2 linked regions of the Xenopus tropicalis genome follow. The protein of the gene in region 1 purifies or fractionates together with the protein of each later gene. This does not show direct contact. Links are inferred from orthologs where the notes say so. Each region holds a gene or a part of one and is shown on either strand. Other genes may lie near its edges.

Region 1 (4,112 bases):
TTACTCAGTTGTTACTGGGCTACAAATCCCACAATAATGTAACATATAATGAAGCTTGGGGCATGCTGGGAGCTGTAGTCCAGCAACATCAGGGCTGTATTCTTAAAGCAATATTGCACAATAAAACTTTCCCCCAAATCCCCACAGCCAGCGACTGCTTTAACATGCGAAAAATCCTCCAATGAGAATCCCAGCTGATGTGAGTAAATCCGGCTCCCTGTTCTCTGTTCCTGCAATTGGAGTTGGGAGCAATAAGCACAGTTTCCCAGCACTGAACAAGTCTGTCCCTTTATCCCCATGTCTGATTCCTGTGCCATATAATGAGGGGAGAAAATGCCATCATTATCTCTATATGTAAGGTACCAGCAAGGGGCCTGACACAGTGCTGGGAATCAGCATTCTCACTGGGCAGTTCTTTTGCATTTATAATCAACTTATTTATCAGTACAATTCTCATTGGGGAATTTCCTTGCATCTGTAATGATGGTTTTTGGCAGCTTCTATAGCAAAACTAGGGGGCGCCGTGGGGCAGCATCATGGCTGGGTTTATATCACCATTAAATATACGGGGGGCAAAAATGCAGGATATTTGGCAGGTCCGACAGATGACTGGGCCACATGCTATCAGCAGGGCTTTCCCCACAATGGAGCCTGGGTTATTAGCCCCCCCGCCCACACACAGGCCCTGAGCCCTAGAATCCATGTAACCAAGGCTAGGTACATACATAGCAAAACCCCCAGTCTGCCCTGTTACCCTCTTACCTGCCCAGACCCCTGCCCATCTCACCAGCAAACCCTGTACCTTTTGCAGTCCTATGACAATGGCTATGGCCCCGTCCCTGCACTGTGATTGGGCCCCAGACCAGTCACCCCCCTCCCCTGCTGCTGAGTCCTTAATTGCACCCAGAAAGATACAAGTCACAGGGCCAATGGGCTCCCAGACTTCGAATAGAGGTTTTGGGAGCCCAATTATAGCACCCATGGGTGCCTGGTTATACAACTACAGCCTTGGATGGTATTAGAGCACCTAAATATCCAGGTCACTTCCAGTTGCCCCGGATTGGGCCAGCGGATAAGGAAGGTAATTACCCCAAAGGCTTCATTGCTCAGCCAAAGCGCCTTATATATTTATCCCACTCTCCCTAACGCTAATCCTCTTATCAGCCCTAATCTAATTATATGACCCCCACCCCCCCCCCGCCAGATTGCACATCCCACTGTCACTCAGCCAATGAATTGCCTCCATTGTGCTCTTGGGAACCAATGACCCATTGCTCTGTGCGGCCACAGTTTTATTGTTACAGCTCTGTAACTTTTCTTTCTATTCAGTCCCACTTCTATTCGTATCCCAGTCTCTCATTCCAACCACTGCCTGGTTGCTAAGATAATTTGGACCCTATCGACCATATAGCTGCTAAAATGCCAAGAGCCCCATTAAATGACATTATTGGCCGCACTATTGTGACGTCATTTCTGTATTCCAAGAGCTTCCCAGTGACACAAGTCCTTTAGGGGTTACGTGCCCAATGGGTTCCACTGGGAATGAGGTGCCAGTGCACAAAGGGTGCAAACTCTATACCAGAACAGGGCAGGGTTGTGCCAAGTTACGGGGCCCCCCTGCAGCCTATTACATATTTCTACATTTCATAGCATCCCCCCCCAGTTACAGCCTGTACACCTACCATCATCTTGCCTTACTATACACATTATGCCATAGTTAGAGCCCCTTCTCCTGGCACTGTAGCCCCTATGCCGAGTGCCATCTTGCCTACTATACACATTATGCCATAGTTAGAGCCCCTTCTCCTGGCACTGTAGCCCCTATGCCGAGTGCCATCTTGCCTTACTATACACATTATGCCATAGTTAGAGCCCCTTCTCCTGGCACTGTAGCCCCTATGCCGAGTGCCATCTTGCCTACTATACACATTATGCCATAGTTAGAGCCCCTTCTCCTGGCACTGTAGCCCCTATGCCGAGTGCCATCTTGCCTTACTATACACATTATGCCATAGTTAGAGCCCCTTCTCCTGGCACCACCTTACCTTATTCTGCACACTGTCCAGCACTGTAGCCCCTATGCCGAGCCCCATCTTGCCTTACTATACACACTATACTACAGTTACAGCCAATCCCTGAGGGTCCCTTTGCATACAGCTTGGGGGCCACACAAACTGCAGGGCACTAAAGGCAGCCCGGCCACAGAAAGAGGGGGCACTGCAAGCACCGGGCATTAAGGGGAATAACAGTGGGATTTGCTCATTAGAGGTAACACCCCGGGGGTCATGTTGGCACGAGGGGGCATCGCTGTGGGTGATTCCTTGTGCCCAGTCCGACACACATTGTGCCACAGACCTGTCCTTACTCACAGAAATACGTTCTCCATTGGCGCGGCCTTGTGGGCTTCCAGCTCCCCACAGCGGATTCCCAGCGGTGCCACCACGCAAGCAGGAACCGACTCCTCCAATACGGTTCTGATCCTTAGGTACGGGCTGTCAATCCACATGTAATCCATCTAGGCACCGGCATCACTGCAGCCCTGCCAGCCAGCGAGGTGTGCGACGGTCCCTTCCCTCTCAGCTCTCTCCCCCCCACTGATTCCTTTATTCTCTCCAATGGCAGCGACTACCCACGGGCTGGAATCTCAGCCGCTCTCTCGCTCTCTCGCTCTCTCTCAATCCAAGCAGCTGCATCAAAATTCTCCCATTTACTGTGTTATGCCCTGCGTGCAAGTCTGATTGGCTCGTGTCGTCATCGGCAGTACAGCGTGCCGCGGGCACAACACCAGCATATCAAATCTCTGCAGCCTCCCGCGGGTATGGGTGAGACCCTCCCCAGCCAGCGGGAATGCAGAGACAGAGATAGGGGGCCCAAATATTCCCCCCAGCAAAATGGCAACAGCAAGATACAATGGGGATTGTAAGATATGATGGAGACAGTGGGATAGGAAGAATGGTAAGATAGGGCAATGGTCAATAGGGCAAGAGGGCGACAGTAGGTCATGATGGAGACAGTAGGGCAAGATGGGGACAGTAGGACAAGATGGAGGCAGTAGGGCAAGATGGAGACAGTAGGGCAAGATGGAGACAGTAGGGCAAGATGGAGACAGTAGGGCAAGATGGAGACAGTAGGGCAAAATGAAGACAGTAGGGCAAGATGGGAGACAGTAGGGCAAGATGGAGACAGTAGGGCAAGATGGAGACAGTAGGGCAAGATGGAGACAGTAGGTCAGGATAGAAGCAGTGGGAAATGATGGAAACAGGACCAAAATAAAGAAAGTATGGCAAGATGCTTTAAAGGTGAATTAGCTTTGCTTGTACAACATATTTCCCAGGGCAGCCCAGTAAGCAGGGTTCCTATCTCTGCTGTTGGAATTAGAGTGTAGGCCTGGGGGAGAGGTGCATGTAGTCAGGACCAGAAACAGGCAAAATAAACAAAACAAAACACAATTCAAATAATAGAATACTTTGCCTTTAAATCATACAAATACAAAAACACATACAAGAGTATTATAAAAACAAAACCCCAAGTCTGGATGTGGGCCAAAAGCATCAATCTCTGGAGAAAATAGAGAAATAAATTCCGTTGAGGGGTTTGGGAATAGTCAGGGCGAGTGAACGTAAGGTCACAATCCATGGAGATGAATGTCTGGTTTATATTTTGGGAATAAAATCAAAGCCGCTAAATGTCATCCAAACGGGGAAACTATGGAGAGATATGCTGAAGTAAATTCAGCAAAAGAGCTCAGTGCCAGGCAGTGACTGCAAAAGCCAACAACAACTTCTGTTCCACATGCCATGGAGTTTTGCCCATAAATGCCATGTTGTGAGGCCTGGTCTAGTACACGGAAGGTATAAGCACCTTTGGGTGTCACCCCAGAAGGACCACCCAAAGGGAAACTATGGAGAGATATGAAAATAACACAGAAAAATACTCAGCAGAAGAGCTCAGTGCCAGGCAGTGGCTGCAAAAGCCAACAACAACTTCCGTTCCATATGCCATGGAGTTGTGCCCATAAATGCCATGTTGTGAGGCCTGGTCTAGTACGTGGTATAAACACCTTTGGGTGTCACCCCGCAAGGACCACCCAAAGGGAAACTATGGGGAGATAT
Region 2 (3,572 bases), on another chromosome or scaffold:
CCTTGAACACCTTATGGACATTTCCAAAACTTTCTTAAGATTAAAAAGAAAATGTTGCTTTCAAAAAGCAGAAGGACCAAAAAGATGCCGATAGGTGGATGAGCTTGGTCTTGTAAAGATTTGGGGAGGGTCCTTCTAGTGGGAGGAGGTGGGGGGGGACCATCCCTTTAAATACTGACTGTAGTAATATGTGTGGGGACTATGCATACATACCTACAAGTGTATGATATTAATATCATTTAGGCTAATGTCCCACGGAGAGATTAGTCGCAGCGATTTTTAAAAAGCAAGTCTTTTCCTTACAAGCGATTACTAGAGATTTCAACAACAGAGTAATTCTATTTCCCACAAATCCAGGTGTCATATTCCCTGCCCACAATTAGAAATTACATTCAGTGAAATGGGGAAATTGCAGCAAATTCCCGCTCAATTCAATTCTTTGTAAAATCATTCGAAAAAGGGTCTCATAGCGATTAGGAGTGATAAGCATTTTGAAGTGGTATTGTCAGTTTAGGTACTGGCGATTTATATTTTTCTCTATGTAGAGATAAAACAAGCAACTTGTCACTGGAACTCGTTTTCTAAAAATAGCAGTGACTAACCTCTCTTAGCATTTCAAAGTAAACGGGTTGTTCAGTTGTTTATGGTGAAACAGCATCCTTATGGAAATGACCTGACTGACTAACACAACAAAGATTATGATACCTGATTATCTTGTCAATCAGAACAAATCCCTACTTTGGTCAGCGAGATTCTAACAGTATAAAGCTGGCCATACACGTGGCGATCTGACGATGTTTCGTACGACCATCGGTCGCACGAAACATCGTCAGATCCGCCACACACCATTCAGGGCTGAATCGGCAGGTAAGGAGGTAGAAACAATAGGATTTCTACCTCCTTCTGCCGATTCAGCTCTGAAGGGAGAATTTTGGTCAGGCGCCTTCTATGGCGCCCGATCAAAATTTTCTAACCTGGCCGATCGAAGAGCCGACCAATTTCAGCAGCTTCCTGCGACATCGGTCGGCTCGCTGACATACCATACACGCACCGATTATCGTACGAAACGAGGTTTCGTACGATAATATCGGTGCGTGTATGGCCACCTTAACTTGTGAAGCTCTTACACATTTAGACAGATACACGCACAAAGATATATGGAAGGTCAGGGAGAAATCTTCTGAAGGCTACAGTACATATCCTGTGGGCACGTTCGAAAGACCTTTGTATTATTTGCTGTCTCTGGGCTGGACAATCTGAATAGATTGATTCATCTCTGGAAAAGAACCGTGGTTGTCTCCATTTACCTGGCTGTGGTAAATAGTGGAATCTCCAGTATATTTGTAATAATATACTACATATATATATATATATATATATATATCTACACTATGCAACACTGACATGGAGTGAGCCTAGGGTAAGTTAAGCGAAGGGAGCAGCATTGGAAAGGAATGGCCATTTTAGTAAGTTTGTGTATACAGTTTTAAGTAAGACAAAGGTGAAGCAAATTTTAATGGCATACAGAAGGTGGGACTGATTACACAGAGAAAAGTTAAATGTATATAGCAATTGCAAGCTTATGGGAAAATGATGAAAACAAAATAAATAGATAAATACAGGAATAGGATCTATAATGCTTGGGATAATAATCAGCAAGTGAAACACAGCATAAGTATACTCAATGCATCCAGAAAACAACCATGCAAAATTAACTATATTTTATCATTATTTATTAATCATCCACCAGAGTTAGTATTTAGGATTTTTGTTAGCAGTGACAGTTAAATTGCATATTGCATATGCTTTTCCTCAATTATCAATGTATGTGAGTGTATAGATTGGTAGGTGTGGGTTAAGTGTGCTGGGTTTACTTGGATGGGTTGAACTTGATGGACACTGGTCTTTTTTCAACCCTATGTAACTATGTAACTATCTCCACATGTTAAAATGTAATTTTCATGATGGAGTAGTTTCTCTTCAGTGAGCTCAATACCTACTGTTGCAGTAATACTGGACAATGCTGATAATAGGTTAACTACTTCTGGGAAACATATATTCCTAAAAAGAACGATTGTCTAAAAAAAGAAAATGTGAATATATTTTTGAAGTACTCAGCAAATATCAAACACTCAACATTTGTATCCAACAAATTATCAATAGTTTTGCAACAGAACACATGGGTCTATATATATGGGACTCACCAGGTACCAGGATAGTGATAGCTGTCTGCACGGCCTTTCGAATTATATTATCTAAGGCAAACATCCAGTGAGGCTTTATGTTATGATTTCGTAGCACTTTATTTACCTGGTAAAAGAAAAATGAAAATTGACTATACTCACTAAGACAGGGGTCCTCAAACTTTTTAAACAGGGGGCCAGTTCACAGTCCCTTAGACTGTTGGGGGGGCCAAACTATAGTTAGTCTTTAAGATATGGAGCGCCATTAGCGTTGGGCGGTAGGACGCAGTTATGTGACTCACTGAGGCCGAGGGCCACACTGAGGCAGACAGGTAGTAGCCAGGGGTGAGCATACAGCGGGGGCGGGGGCCGGGTAAATGACCTTGGGGGGAAGTATCCGGCCTGCGGGCCTTAGCTTGAGGACCCCTGCACTAAGATTTCCATGTCAAACAGACTGGTCAATAGTTGACCAGCTCCTTTAGGTTGAGGGCATAGGATGTTTTCTGTGCATTATTATGTCAGCAGTACCTGCCACTTCCTGAACTTAAAAAGGAAAAATCTAACAGCACCAGCATGGGCAGTTTTCAACCTAAAGATGCTCTATGTTGAAACATGATGTTTTCAGCTCCAAAAACATTTAAAGCACCAATACTGTGCCAAAAAAGCCACCACCCCCTAATCAATAAATGAAATATAAAGAAGTACATATAATATAGTATAACACCAACCGAATGATTAAAGTAGGGCAAAGTAGAGGGGGGATTGAATTACTTTGTCAGGAAAGAAGTGTAATAATGGCATTGTGGACATATTGTTTAGGAAAGTGCGACATTTATAACCCTTATATAAACTCAATATGAAGTAACTGATGATGTGTAATGTGAAAAGTGCTATAAAATCACTAATTTAAGATTAATTCATCAAATATAAGATTTAAGATATTGAGATCAAAAAGGAAAATTCTTATATATATCTTATATTTTCATTCTTTCTATTCTTTAGGGATAGCACACAGAGGTAGATATCAGGAAACCCAGGGCTGTGGTCTATTGAGTACCTTCCCTATCTGTTAAAGAAGAGCTGAATTTCCTATAAAACACACAAACCACTGGGTACCTGGAAAAAGTAAAGATGAATGAAGTGCTTAAATGCCACTGAAAAGCTTAAAATTTTAGGGCCCATTTACTATTTGTATTTTGCTCTTTTTTACTAATAGTGATTTTTTTATGCTACAAATTGTATATTTTACTAAGTACTTGAATTCCTAGTTTATGAAAAATACGAATACAAAACTTCCCCATTTATAGGAGGAAGAAAGGCAAAAGCTAAGTAAGCTGTATCAGAAAGGTCTATGTAAATACATATGGCACTCACAGAAATTCTGCACTG

The links.
Region 2: the proteins of arrb1 (region 1) and map3k5 purify together in Homo sapiens (affinity purification with western blotting; 3 studies listed by BioGRID and IntAct, with this or other methods). This does not show direct contact. The link is inferred for Xenopus tropicalis from reciprocal best matches to the Homo sapiens genes ARRB1 and MAP3K5.

The regions. Positions count from the first base shown.
Region 1 is NC_030678.2:175,782,924-175,787,035, reverse strand, and holds the start of arrb1 (beta-arrestin-1), read right to left. Parts: upstream 2,860-4,112; 5' UTR 2,516-2,859; coding exon 2,370-2,515; intron 1-2,369. UniProt on the Homo sapiens protein: Functions in regulating agonist-mediated G-protein coupled receptor (GPCR) signaling by mediating both receptor desensitization and resensitization processes.
Region 2 is NC_030681.2:58,903,832-58,907,403, forward strand, and holds part of map3k5 (mitogen-activated protein kinase kinase kinase 5), read right to left. Parts: intron 2,311-3,572; coding exon 2,205-2,310; intron 1-2,204. UniProt on the Homo sapiens protein: Serine/threonine kinase which acts as an essential component of the MAP kinase signal transduction pathway. Plays an important role in the cascades of cellular responses evoked by changes in the environment.